2 linked regions of the Neodiprion lecontei genome follow. The protein of the gene in region 2 interacts with the protein of the main gene of each other region in a pairwise test. Links are inferred from orthologs where the notes say so. Each region holds a gene or a part of one and is shown on either strand. Other genes may lie near its edges.

What was found.
Region 1: the proteins of akirin-2 (region 2) and brahma-associated protein of 60 kDa interact in binary tests that used the Drosophila melanogaster proteins (3 or more experiments, as listed by UniProt). The link is inferred for Neodiprion lecontei from reciprocal best matches to the Drosophila melanogaster genes akirin and Bap60.

The regions. Positions count from the first base shown.
Region 1 is NC_060261.1:37,097,563-37,104,570, reverse strand, and holds brahma-associated protein of 60 kDa, read right to left. Parts: upstream 5,247-7,008; 5' UTR 5,225-5,246; intron 5,186-5,224; exon of another isoform or gene 5,164-5,185; intron 5,089-5,163; exon of another isoform or gene 4,855-5,088; intron 4,320-4,854; 5' UTR 4,304-4,319; coding exon 4,181-4,303; intron 3,928-4,180; coding exon 3,752-3,927; intron 3,528-3,751; coding exon 3,495-3,527; intron 3,384-3,494; coding exon 3,038-3,383; intron 2,968-3,037; coding exon 2,770-2,967; intron 2,132-2,769; coding exon 1,873-2,131; intron 1,674-1,872; coding exon 1,267-1,673; 3' UTR 508-1,266; downstream 1-507. UniProt on the Drosophila melanogaster protein: Involved in the recruitment and site-specific anchoring of the Brahma complex at specific promoter sites.
Region 2 is NC_060263.1:15,142,496-15,149,259, forward strand, and holds akirin-2, read right to left. Parts: upstream 5,189-6,764; 5' UTR 4,938-5,188; coding exon 4,769-4,937; intron 3,879-4,768; coding exon 3,685-3,878; intron 3,590-3,684; coding exon 3,427-3,589; intron 3,323-3,426; coding exon 3,312-3,322; 3' UTR 3,266-3,311; intron 3,140-3,265; 3' UTR 525-3,139; downstream 1-524. Other genes in the region: arrestin homolog, read right to left, coding at 1-9. UniProt on the Drosophila melanogaster protein: Molecular adapter that acts as a bridge between a variety of multiprotein complexes, and which is required for embryonic development and for normal innate immune response.

The sequences.
Region 1 (7,008 bases), on a different chromosome or scaffold from region 2:
CCTAATTTTGAGAAACGTATAGTCTATAGGAAGAAAATCCGAATTTGGAGCAGATTCTGGAATATCACACACTGTATGAAGGAATGCACACAAGATCTCCTAAAAGCACTTTGAGCGACAAAGGATTTGTCATCCTCACTTTACTGTGTATAGAGAATACCTTGAAACAGGCCTTCCAAGCTACAACAGGTCCTTCCATGCATCATGATAACCGCTGTAAATTGACCCCTGTGTGAGTGTGATTGGTCCACTTTGAGACATCCTTTCCGTACGAAAAAATTTCGTGGAAATCTGTAGATTATTCTGATACTCTACATTAAACCTGTAAAACTATTTACTATACAAATATGACAAATAATTAATGTTTGAAACACCAAACAGAATTCGCTCGCTTTATTACAACTTTTTCATCCAATAATTACAGAGTACTACGAACTTCAGCAGCATCAGATATAAGAACTAAAAAATGAGTTCATGTTGTCAAGAGGACGATATCAAACACAAAAATTTATCGGCTGTATCTCAATATTATTTATTTGCTATAATGTGTATAATCATGACTTATTTTTTGTATACCCGGTGAAAGAGTCACATACTTTACTTCAATTAATATTGTGAATGTACCACAAAGGTATGGGTTTCAATAATGTGACTGTATTGATGATGAATCTAGTGACATTGAATGCACGGAGGCAAATTGAAATTAGCAAAAATATTAAATGTTATAAATACTGTTAAATGTTCACGATACATTTCTGAAAGATTATTAAATATGATTAAAAAGTTGCATCAGCAGACCTCGTTGACGTATTTCTTAATTTGAATAGCATCAATAATCAGAAATTTGTGGTAATACGCAGTATAATCCACAGTTAAAAGTTCGACTTTATCTATGGTATGGTTTTTATTACATTTATAAAGTGTAATACAATTTTTATATAATCGTATTACTGCTTTTTACCTTCCTGACTTGTACTTGAGGCAATAGTCATATTCACCTGACGTAGTATAATAAATTGGTAATGCCGTGCCAATAAAAGTTATATTTGGGTAATTTTGGCTATAATTCATTCGATTTGAATTTAATTGTTATAATCATGTAAAAAAATTCACAGAACTCTTTTAATCATTTGGATCGTTCGCCTTAATTATGCATGAGCACATAAAAAATTATCATATTAAACCGTGTCCTTCAGGAAAGTGTACTGGTTGGCAATTGCATGCCTAACTGACGATACCGTTGGCAATTATGGGATAGTTTGAGGTTTATGAATTGCGAATTCCAAGAGCTTGTTCTAACTCTGCACGCTTTTGTTGAACTTTAGTGTAAAAGTATCGACATACTGCTTCTTGGGCCCAAGGCTGATAGTAGAAATCAGCTCTACGCTCTTCCTCGGGGTTGCCAACAACATCTGTCATTGTCTTCAAGTCTCTAGTCTGTGATATAATCCACTTGTTGATAAACTGCTGAGGGTCCTTTGCGAAGCTCAAAAAGAACTCACGATTTGTTTTCAACTGGTTTATAGTTTCCACTGTCTCGTGAATTTTATTATCAAGGCTTTGAATTTCTTGCTGACTTGCAGTCGACAACAAGAAATTGTTCATCTGGGTCTTGAGCGTATCATCTACTTCAACGTCGATATCATAACACGCGGTTTGCTTTGTCTCTGTACCTAAATGAAAATGTTTTAATGGCAATGGAGCAAGAATTAGTATTATACCTGGATTCATATTCTTCAAATCGAGGAACAACCACATTTGAAATCAATTGAAAAGTTTGACAGATTAAAAGCTGATGTACTCCATACAACAATTTTGTCAATCAAACTGTATTCATTTACGAAGATGCTCAATGATTATTATTGTACGTACCTTCTACACTAATGACATGATTAATAACAATTGGATCTGGCGGATGAAGTAATGGGTTCAAGCGTTGAGGTATTTCAGCAAATTTCATTCTAGGACAAGCAAATATTTGCTCCAGATATTTGTCGCAGTTTATAAATTCACGTTCATGTCCGTCTTGAAGTTTGTGTGTTTTTATATACTGCCAGAGAGCGGAGATGATGACTGGTCGAGTTTGTGTATGAACACCAAGTAGGCGAGCTAAGCGAGGGTCGAGCTTGAACTGCAAAATTGGCAATAAGTCAATTGAACCCCTGCATGCAACAAGAACTTGACTCGAGTTAAGTTTTGGACAATGAAATATGAATAAAGTATTTGTTAACTGATGTACAGGTGTTTTAATAAAAAAAATCAATCGTTTTTTGTTTTGACGAAATTGTCCTAACCTTTGATATCACTACACACCCATAAGATCATAATTTTCAATATTTCATTGTCCAAATCTTAACTCGAGTTAAGTTGCTGTTGCACGTAGGGTCTCAATTATTACACATAATTAGATGTTTACATACATAGGGTGACGACAACTTTGCTCGACTAAAATTCCCTGACCTTTTTTCATGAAGCTCAGGTAATGTTGGGTGGTTTTTATGACTAAAAGCTATGTACACGCGCGTGTGTATGTGTGTGTGTAAAAACTGCACAGTAACATTTCCAAAAGCGAGCTTAACTTAATTTACCAAGCCTAGTTGAAGTTTGAAAACAATTTATCAAAAAAGTACAGTTTCTTTCCTGTAGACCATCATAATTCCCTGACTTTTCCCGATAGACGGAACTCCCCGACTATTTCTGGTTTTCTCGGATTACTCGGTCAGTCGCCACCTTGATACAATTTGAATATGTTTTAATGATAAAATGTACCTGCAGTGGTTGATAATCAAGCAGCAACAAAATTGTACATCTAACATTCTTATCACCAGGTCTTTTAACTTGAAAACCATCAGTCTCTTGAGTTGTCAGCGTACGATGCCATTCAACCAGATGATTATCTGGCCCATACAAGTCTTTGTCTAGCTCTATTACCAAGCTTTTAAAGAAGGATGAAAATTTTCTCTTGACCTATGAAACAACCCAAAACATGTATGCCGCTTTTCCCAGTATAATACGAAAATGTTGGGCTCATTGATACCTTGTTGGGGTCATTTTTTGTATCATCGAGAAGTCTTCCTTCTACCCGAAGTTCCCACGAAGCAACAGAACCTTCTTCTCCTTCGCCAGCTTCTTTAGCTGGGTAGAAAGTATTAGATATAAAGATTCTCAACTTTCGTTTTTGTTTCATAGGACGTTTCAGGGCTTCTTGGATGTCCAAACGTTTGCGCATAATGGTAGCATCAAGTTTACGCTCAAAAGCAAGCAAATCCATGTACGCCTGTGACTCTGGTACAAGATCGCGTACTTTCTGAGGTAGAATTTTGTCTGCCAGTTTCTTCTTCTTCTTCGATGTGGAATGTGAGAAATCACTGTTCCAAAAATACCTAGTGAGTTTGCGTGAAAAATCATAGCTCAAAAATCAAAATTAATTTTGAAAAGATTTTTGTAAAAATTAGTTATGACGATGGCTGCATCGCCTGGTAAAAACTTTGTACCTTAGTTTGAGCTCTAATCCAGAACAGTGAGGGCTTGTACCATGAAAAACGTACAAAAAAACACAGTAACGAAAAAGACTTAGCAAAGAATTTCAGTACCATAAGCATCATATAACTTTATAAATTGACAAATTGAACATTCACTTGCTTTATAATGTTACAAGCATACAAAGAAATGTTGTAAATTACATGGTATGTTCAAAAAATGAGCAATAATAATCATTACATCTAAGATTATAGAAATAAAATGGACTCACGGTTTTTGCTGAGATATTGGTATCCGTTGCTCAGTAGATCTTTTGCTTCCTGGAGGTGTGGGCATAGGTCCTTGGCGCATATTAGTGTATGGCTGGTTTGGCCTCATCATTCCTCCAGGTCCTGGGCCTCCACTGCCCATTTGTGGAGGTGGGGTAAAACCTGACCTTTGCTGCATCTGCGTAAAGAGACATTCACCCAAAGAACAGTAGACAATTTGGATACAAAGGAGTTTTTTCAAATTTAAAAATGTTACAAATAGAGAAAACCTCAGCCGTCATATTCTAATAATAATTGCCACGAAAAATCATTTTTTTTTTCAATTAAAGTATTGGATCATAATAACTCGAGTGAATTTAAAGTTGCTCGCTGTAGTTTGAGAAAGAGAGAGAGACTTAGTAGTTAGTAAATAATAAAGAATCAAAATTAACCTTGCCTACCGGGAAGTTGGGGCCAGAATATTGTCTCAGATTTGGTGGTACGGAAGGAGGAGGGTATCGCTGTGATGGTGGGCCATTATTTCCTGTATTTGGCACAGGAAAACGCTGTGCCATTTTGAAAGCGAGCTATCTGAATATGAGTAAAATCAAAATTAAGTTCAATAGTATAGAATTACCCTAAATACACGTCATACAGTTAAATACTAGACGTTGCGCTTGAAAAAAGCCTGTACATTAAGAGAAACAAGGAAATCTAATCGAGTGATGGATGATAATTAAAAAAACCTTTACACAAGATATTCTCTTTCATTTAAATGCATAACTCTTGAAAACTGAGTGATGATTGGCAGAAGCCACGAGATGCTATTTTTCACCAAGCCTGCTCGGGCTGCGCTGAGTAAGAGCACAAATGACGCGATAAGTTTTCAATACCAATATGATGTAGTAAATTTAAGCACAGTTTAATTACAGAACACAGGTTGGATATTTATGATGGAAGACCTAAGTGGGGGGTGAGATAATTAACTCAAAATATTCCACGTGAAATTTTAAAATAATTGAGTTAATAAAGAGCAAGAATATCTGATTTGGGATGTTTTCAGTTGACACTGGAAAGCCGTAGGAGAAAAAAAGATATCTCAGTATTTTCAATAGTTATTAGTTACATTAGACGGTATTTTTTCACTGGATAACATAGCAGTAGTTAGAGTATATTGAAAACCGATAAAAATCTACGTGAAAATCAAAATAGGCAGAAAATAACCTTCACTTCTCAACTTGAGACGCACTAGCAGGAAATAAATTGGGGGGACTTTGTTTGCGGTACAAATGTTCAAACTGCGAAAACCAGAGTGCGCTTTGATTCGTCACTAGACAGTAGACTTTCCCATTTTTAGAATAGTCTTGGAATCAAGAGAATCGAGAGATGCGTGTTCGCGTTTCTCGTGCCCACGGCGTCGCTAACTGAAGACTACCTTTTATGAAAGGGGATGGGACTGTTATCTTCCGTGTTGACCGTGTTGACTAAAGACTTACAGCATTGACGTAGCATTGACATGGCATTGACTTAGGCCCGATCTCTCCCACGTTAATCGAAGTTTAAACTAAGTTCAGCCTATCCCCAACTATATACAAAAAAATGAACGCTGTTTAAACTGTTTCGAAGGAAACGGGCGTTGTGGGATTGCGTATGCCACCCGCCGATAAAGAAGCTTTCAGATCGCTAAGATGGCTCCTCACCCACTTACCTTTTGAATACTAATAACGAAAATTTAATGTGACAACATTTGAAAACTTGCTTAACACTGTCATCACACATCTGAAAATAGACAAATTATAATCTGCGAAAATAACAGACTACAATAATCTGAAATAATTGAAGTTTATACGACTTTTTTGAAGTTTTCATAGTCTCCCATTTTTTTTTTGTATTGTATTTCCGAAGTCGGAAATATTGATTGAAAATGTCTTAGATGGGGGTCTAATTTATTAAATTTGTACGTTTGGCAAATAAGTGTATCAGCTAATCTAAAAATTTGTAAAACTACAACGAAATGGAAACAAATTTTTGGAATAGTGTATGAATTATGTGTTCCACACAATCGCAAGCAGTAGAGCATTCGGTGCTTTTTTTAATGCGGTATGTTCAGCAGACCTATTACATGGTGAACAATAATACGTAATTTTTTGAATAATTTTTTCATACGTCACACGATTAATTGTTTTTATTAAGTACATTATTGTCGTGCAGACGTCGATTGTTGATCGTTTCTTAATTCATATTGTTCGTTGAATTTTTATTATAGATGAAATGGATTGCTTTGCATTGTTTATAATCGTCGATATGTGTTTAATATCGCCGCGACGAGCGAAGATTGTTCGTTGATTGTACTTAAAAAGTCTAGATTTTCATTCGTTGCTTTATAAACTCACGTATAAGGTTCTGATATGAATTTTCACATGAATTCTACATGAGAATTGTCAATAGAGCGTGAGATGCATTCGTCAAAGTGGCAAATATAACGGTTAATTAGAGTTACGTACGAAATTCAACTTCAATATATTTGCAGAGTGTTTTATTTTCAATAACTCGTTTATTGGTTAAGTCATACTTTTGTATCAAGCAGGCGATAGGGAGTCGCGACCGCTTAGGCAATGCAATGGGCAGAGCCCTGTATGTTTTTACCACGTTTTTACTAAGTCACGGGACCGTGGTTAAACCTGAACTGGTTTTACTACCTTTGATCCTCCGTAGATTTATCCAGTTTACATGACTGTGGACAAAACGGACCCTACTGGGAATACACTGTCTACCATGTTCAAGTTGGTATTCGAACAATCTTTGTGTCAACATGTCAGGGAACATCACCTTACTTCGTGTCGGTAAGTTTTCGAGAATATCGATCATATTCACGTTGCAAAGTGTGTTGTCATCTAGCTGGACTGTATTGAACAGCTGACTGTCGGCTTTGAGACAAGATCGCAGTCGCGCGCCGAAGCGTTGATACGTTTGTCGAAAGATGCGATATCATGTTTAATACTTCGGCTGATTCATTAATTCGGAAAAGAATTAAAGCGCACGGATGTTCGGAAAAATTAAGTCGTGCCTTCTCGGGCTCTTCACGACTCGTGACATGTGTATAATACTGACTGCAGGTTCATTCGTGGGCTTACTATTAGTGTCTGTAACATTTATTCGTGAAACATAAACACGGCGGTAAGCTGAGTTGACCGTGGGTTGAGTCATGTAAATACGAATCTTCTACATCACTTCAAAGGTATTCCGTAATCAATAAAGTTTTACCGCTCAGTAATTGGTC
Region 2 (6,764 bases):
AGGAAACATTTGACCGATAGTGTCGGACTGTAAAGAATCTGTGTAACCGAGCGTTGTTTCCCGCCCAGAAGTGACGGAGGCCTTCTGACGTACATCTACTCTTATAGATCTAATGGGGCTTCTTACTACGAAGCCATATCCAGACTAATGCGATTATACTATTGAATAAGTCTCTTAACAGGATCGGAATATAGGAATTTCAAGAAATTGGCTCGCTTTGTGACGTCTTCCATCCCATTCTATGACAATTTCTTTCTCCATTCTTCAGAGTCTGCGACAACAGTATCTTAGAATAGTTAAAGTACTCTTCAGTGAACTAAGAACTAGAGCTACTTTCATTAAGATCATACTTCAGTATTTCAAGCCGTGTTTAGAGGGGTGAAACGATTCGAAATCGAATTTCTATTGATAATTAGATCTACATTGATTATTTGCGTTGGAACGTTTTACAAGAGCGGGCTAAAATTTTTATACAAATAGAAGCATAGCAAAAGTGGATGTGGAATTATTTATAGATAGTCAGATAAAGATCAGTCTTAAGGTTTATATTTATTTCATTAATAAGTGTTTACATAATATTAATATGGAGGTATTTTTAATCATTGAAATCAAATCTTCCCTGATTTCTCCCAAGGAATTTACCTTAGCTGTTTTCTTCATCGTTGCTTCTTAATATAATCATTATTAATCATTAGTATTAGGTATTATTCATTATTCAATATACTAACTAAATTTATTTGTATTTCTTTTTGTTTTTTTTTTTCGTTTTGTTTTTCCCTTCCATATTTATACATCATTCATAATTTTTTTTCTCTTCACAATATTGTAACTTATTCTTCCTTGTCATCAGGATACATTTATGCTGCTTGACGAAATACTACGTACAATTTCCATTTTTTTATTTATTTACGTTTCTTAATATTAAAATTATTATAACGTACAGTTCGCGCAATAACTTTTGTTGATTTCAAGACTTACACAATCATTAATTTACATTTATTACCTAAGGTTTTACAATAGCTATGACAGTTTATCTGGTTTTCAGCATAGTCTTGCAGGAGTAATAAGATAATTGTACAAGTATTTAATCCCTTGTTGTACTACGATAAATACGAGTCGTTTTTCAAAGGATCGCAGTGTTTCTCGTTCCACAAGTTTTTCTTAGCTCAACAAAAGTTACTATGCTATCACTTGAACTAAATACAGTAATAAGATCAGAAGATGTGGCATTCTTGCCTGGTATTGAATAACAAGGTCGTCACTACGCCCCAAAATTCAAATATTATTGGCGAATTGTATTTAACTACTTTTTGTTCTCCAGTCAACTAGTTTCAAGTATCTGTTGATCGAACGAATAAAACTTAACGAATTTCAATTTGGCAAATAACGAAGCACGGCTCCTTAAATTTTCATTCAACAAAAAAAAAATAACTGTTTTCATAAACTCCTCATACTCTTTTGCTAAGTCTCTTCCTTGATACTTAGAATTCATCTTTCGTTCAATTGTTGAACGGCGTGAATAGCAGAGAAATATATATGGTAACCAAGACGAACTATCATTATCGGATTCATCTTGAGACAATTATGCGCCTAATTTATACCTATATATATGAATAGTATGTATACGTAAAAAAGAAAAAAAACGAACATCGCATATGTAGAATCATTATCAACTAAAAATAATTTTTTTTTCCAATATTATTTTTCTTTTTTTTTTAATTACGATGAATAGTAATAAGTAATAATTATAGCAGTGTTGGGTAATTGTAATAAATATGTCTAATAATAGGCACAGTAAATGTATGGGTAATAGTATGTATATTCATTATTCTGCATTTAATTTCATTATGCTATGGCAAGTTGCTGTTGTCAGGGAAAAAATTATAACAACAACAATAATAGTAGTAATAATAATAATAATAATAATAATGACAATAATGTGAAAACAGTATCAGTTCTTTTTGAATTTTCGCCCTAGCATGGTGCACAGTTCTTTTTATAAATTTTCTACTTCTTCAAACGCGTATAATTTAAGAATACACTTATAAATGCTACATTTCAATAAGAAGGAAAAATCAAAGAGAAAAAATAAAGCAAGGATGAAAAATTTATCTACCAGCAGAAAACTTTTGTTTAAAGAGGGAAAGGTCAAGATGACAAATTAAAAGCTCTAATAAAAGTATGAATGCAATACCCCGAAATAAGGGAATATATTCGTTAAAAAATACATTCTTTATAATTTTGAGATTGACCTAATAACATAGCATTACAAAAACGTATATACCTATATATCACCATCCAAATATGCAGATTTTACTTGTTATTATAATTGCGAGAGTAGAGAAATAAAAATATTAGAAAATGATTATAACATAATCAATTGTTGCAAGAGAAATTTCATCGGGACTGACGAAATCAATAAATCACGTTACACCTTAGATTTCACATCATTGATCGATATTCAAAGTAACTCTGACCACCACCAATCTTATTCCGTACGTTACTAATTGTTGTGGATCAGTTGGGAGAAATTGATGTTACAATCGATCGTATGTAATCAGATCCTTATCGAGAGGCTTTACAGTTGATTTGCAAAAATTGGTTTCAGGAAATTCGAAGAGTAGGAAATTCACACCACCACGGTGTATGTAGTATCAATACCAGATCACATGTATGCAATTTATTTACAAATACTTTTATACTTGTGCTACTTTAGCTTTGTAAATTTTCTATTTGATTCCCTGATAACAGCGTACTTTGAAAACCGGATGGTACAAATATGGTTAATTTAGTAGTATACGTTGTCGATTTTTTTTAGTCTGGTCGCTCTCCGCAAGTGAGCCTACTTCTATAACTTACTTTCCTATATACGCATATATATACATATATGTCAGGGTACACACACACATATATATATATATACGCACACCTCATTACCTTTTTTGAAATGTTTTTATTTATTGATATTTTTGTTAAATTATTTAATTATGTTTTTTGTTGCATCTGTTTATTTTATACTTCGAATGAAATTACTTTTCAAATTTAATCAACCCATGTCTCCACAGCGAGGTAACATCACCGCGCATTTCTTCCCTCATAACTCCAAGCAAAATTATTTTCTCACTTATATCATAGAAATCTGTAATGAGAAAACCACTAGAGTATCTTTTGACAATAACAATTGAATCATTCGCCGCATTACCTAGACGATTATCATGTAAAGTCACGATTCAACTTTACAGAATATACATGCTAGGATACTTACCTAACGTTCTTTGAAGAAACACATCCGTGGAAGTGGCAAATCTCCTTTAGGACAAATCTACAAATTTATCAAACATTAGAAAAAACACAATGCATGTGAGTCACCAGTCTTGAAATCAGGAGTTTACAAGTTTACAAGTTTCCAAGTATTCAATAACTCACAACTCGGTGCAGCCGCAGATTCAAATCTCTTCTGAATCTGATCATAGGTGAACTTAACGAATGCGTCATACTGCTCGGAGAGCTTCATGTTGAGAATCTGGTCATATTCTTCTCGGATCTGCGTCTCCTGTTCCTTCAGCATCCGCTCGCAGATCAATCCCACCTAAACACAAGTTGGTTAACCATTATTTGTAGCAAATAAACGATCTCACAATTATGTCGATATCCATTCATTCTTTATTTTGAAAATACACCCACCTGTCTAAATGTGAACAGTGGTTTTTCTTTGCCGCTTGGGCTATGACTGTAAGCACTAGGCCCACTAGTCGATGGACTGGCTGGACCTTCAGTATCTGAAGAATCTCCACCATTGTTGTTTTGCGGGTTGAAATGCAGCTGCTTGCGCCGGTGAAGCCTGCGGATCTCTTCTCTAATATTGGCAGCCATTTTTTCTATGAAAACATTTTACGGCATTGGTGTAAACAATTCAGATACCTGACCTCAGTTTCTTAGACTGAATAACCAAGCCTGACGGATCGCAATCACAATTGCAACCAGGCATTGTTTTGATTGATGATGTTCAAATAACGGATTGTGAAATTACTTGAAAATAATAAATAAGAAAACCGAAACAATATTAGGTCTTTGCAACATCATTTCCAAGTTATTGGTAATGGCTGAAAGAGGTTAGTAAGAAGGCTTAGTTCTCATGTAAATGTACAAGTTGAGTAACAAACTCCATGCATTCATTCAAAATTTTCACAGTTATGCAAATAGTAAAGTTGCAATAGTCTGCCTTTACGGTGGTCGAATTTTGATGGGTATTTTCAATAGATTCGTGGTAACGCATCAGACTGAGCATGGAAATGCTAATATTATGTCTGATGAATACGTAAATGAAGATTACAAACATACGATTCGGCTTGGTCCTTTTTCTCCCGTTTCGAACTTCGACATTATTGAATGAAATAATGCCTGGGTACGCAAAACTCACACAATGGGGAATTTTTTTTTAGTGACATAGAAGCGCGTTTGAACACCGAGGTGATGAGGGGAATTGTCGAATGAGAAAAAACTTTGTGAAGAAAAACGGTCATTCTAACGTATATTTCAAATTGCGCGATGAGTGGAGGAAAACCAGTTTGAAAGCTGTTTGTAAAAATAGTGAAAATCAGCAGCGACCGTTACGTCGGTATCTCCATATGATTTGCGCTCCCCTCACCCCACTTCACGCCTCCGGCCATAGTATATACGGGTTTTAAATCGCTATACATCTACGTTTGCAGCTAGCTTCCCCCTTTAACACCCCGTGATAAAAAAAAAAATGGCCGAATATAATTACCAGGCGTCAATTTTTGTGTAACTTCGCCGAAAGCTGATGGGTTCTGATTCCTCGCCGGCGGTGTGTTTGGCGACATGCACATCGGTACGCATCTTCGCCTCTTCGAAGGCCTTACGTGGCTGTGAACGGGGTCGAACTCGAGTGATCGCTTCAGGGTGGCGCAGGCCATTTTTACTCTTCACAGTCTCGTACGCGACTGACACCAAAAAATCGCCGAGGAACCGCAAAAGGCGTTTTATTTCCCGAAAATATATCGGTACTACAAATTGCACAGTATTCCCTTTTCGTTTAGCGGTCTCGTCGAAGACTTTCGACAAGTTTCCAGGCTGATTCAACTGGATTTTAAGACTGGCCACCGCAGCACCAAAACAAACACTGCAGTAAAACAATATGGCCTCCTCCGTCGTCACTTCGTCAGCCGCAGCGACTTGAACATTTTCCATAACGTTTACCTAGCCTAGTCTGCCATTGGTCATCTCTCCGCGTTTTCTCATTGGTCGAGCCGTTGCATCGTGCGTCACGACGCAGCTGCATCGATAAGGAAGGGCAGGGGTGGCCGATCGAAACGGTTCATTCGATATTCAGCCTACGGCAGCGCCGGCAATAGTCACGTGGTATGCAGATGCAGCTGTCAGCTGTCGCACGTGACTGACGCAAATTGCACGCACGCGTTAAAGATGCACGGAATGGCAAAAAATCATATCTCGACCAACTGACTGCAGAGAATGATGCTTGCAAATGCAAAGAATAGATTTCGAAACTGGGCAGAGTTAAAAATGAAAATAGAACGCTGAAAAAATGCGCGATAAATTGACATCCGCTCAAGGATAATTTGAATTTTCATCGATTTGCAAAACAAACTTCTTCGAATCTTTTAGGATTTGCAGGATCGATTTTGAAACGATAATCTGAATTTTTCGAATGTGCTGCACAATTTACTTGTGTGAAAACACTGTTTGAAGAACTAAAAAACTTGCCTCGACCGTAACAGGACTCGAACCTGCAATCTTCGGATCCGAAGTCCGACGCCTTATCCATTAGGCCATACGGTCTGTTGATAGTCTAGGCCGTAGAATTGTACGTATCTTCATGATAAAAATTTCTTTAACAACCTTGTGCAAATTCAGCCCTACAGGAACAAAATCAATATAAGTTTCCGTACGACATATTTAAAATATAAAATGATTTGCATGTGATAAATTTGAAGATCATTTATTGTTTTACAAAGGCCTGTGAGGAACTGTATTGTTACAAAAAATCATTTCAATCTTTAATTTAAGGTCCTGTGACAGCCTACCCTTACCGACCAAGCAAACTCATCCCTTTTTTTCCAATATTAAATCAACAAATGAACGGAAAGGCTTGAAGTTTCGACGATGCATCGCTCTTTCATGGCGGAATTCAAAAATGTTACTCATATCTTGAAAAGCATTAAATAGATGAGTGGTTTTTTGAAACACGTTACTATTTAAACAGTTCCCGCATTTCAAGGGCCAATAAGTGCACAGTTGAGATACCTTCCGCAATTCTAGAAAGGATGAGGACTAAAATAAGCCATCGTGAGACTGTTTTCATGTAATATTGAAGTCGCTATACGAAAACTAGGGATACAAATAATTTCGTAAATAAAAAATGCTCTAGCGATCAGCTGGGCGCGAAGTTCCTTGGTTGGTATGGTCGCCCCAGCACAGCATGAGAGCGTCTTTTATCTACAAAATTACCGTAAATCCTAGTTTTCGTTGAGCGGCCTTAATATTGCATGAAAGCAGTCTTGCGATGTCTCATTTTATTTCTCATTCTTGCCGGAATTGCGGAAAGTATCTCAACCATGCACTTTTTGGCCCCTGAGATGCGAGAAATGTTGAAATAGTAAAATGTTTAAAAAAATCACGTTTTTGATGATTTTTGGAATACGAGTAACATTCCTGAATTCCGCTACGAAAGAATGATGCACCGTCGAGACTTGAACCCCTTCTGTTTATTTAATATACGAAGA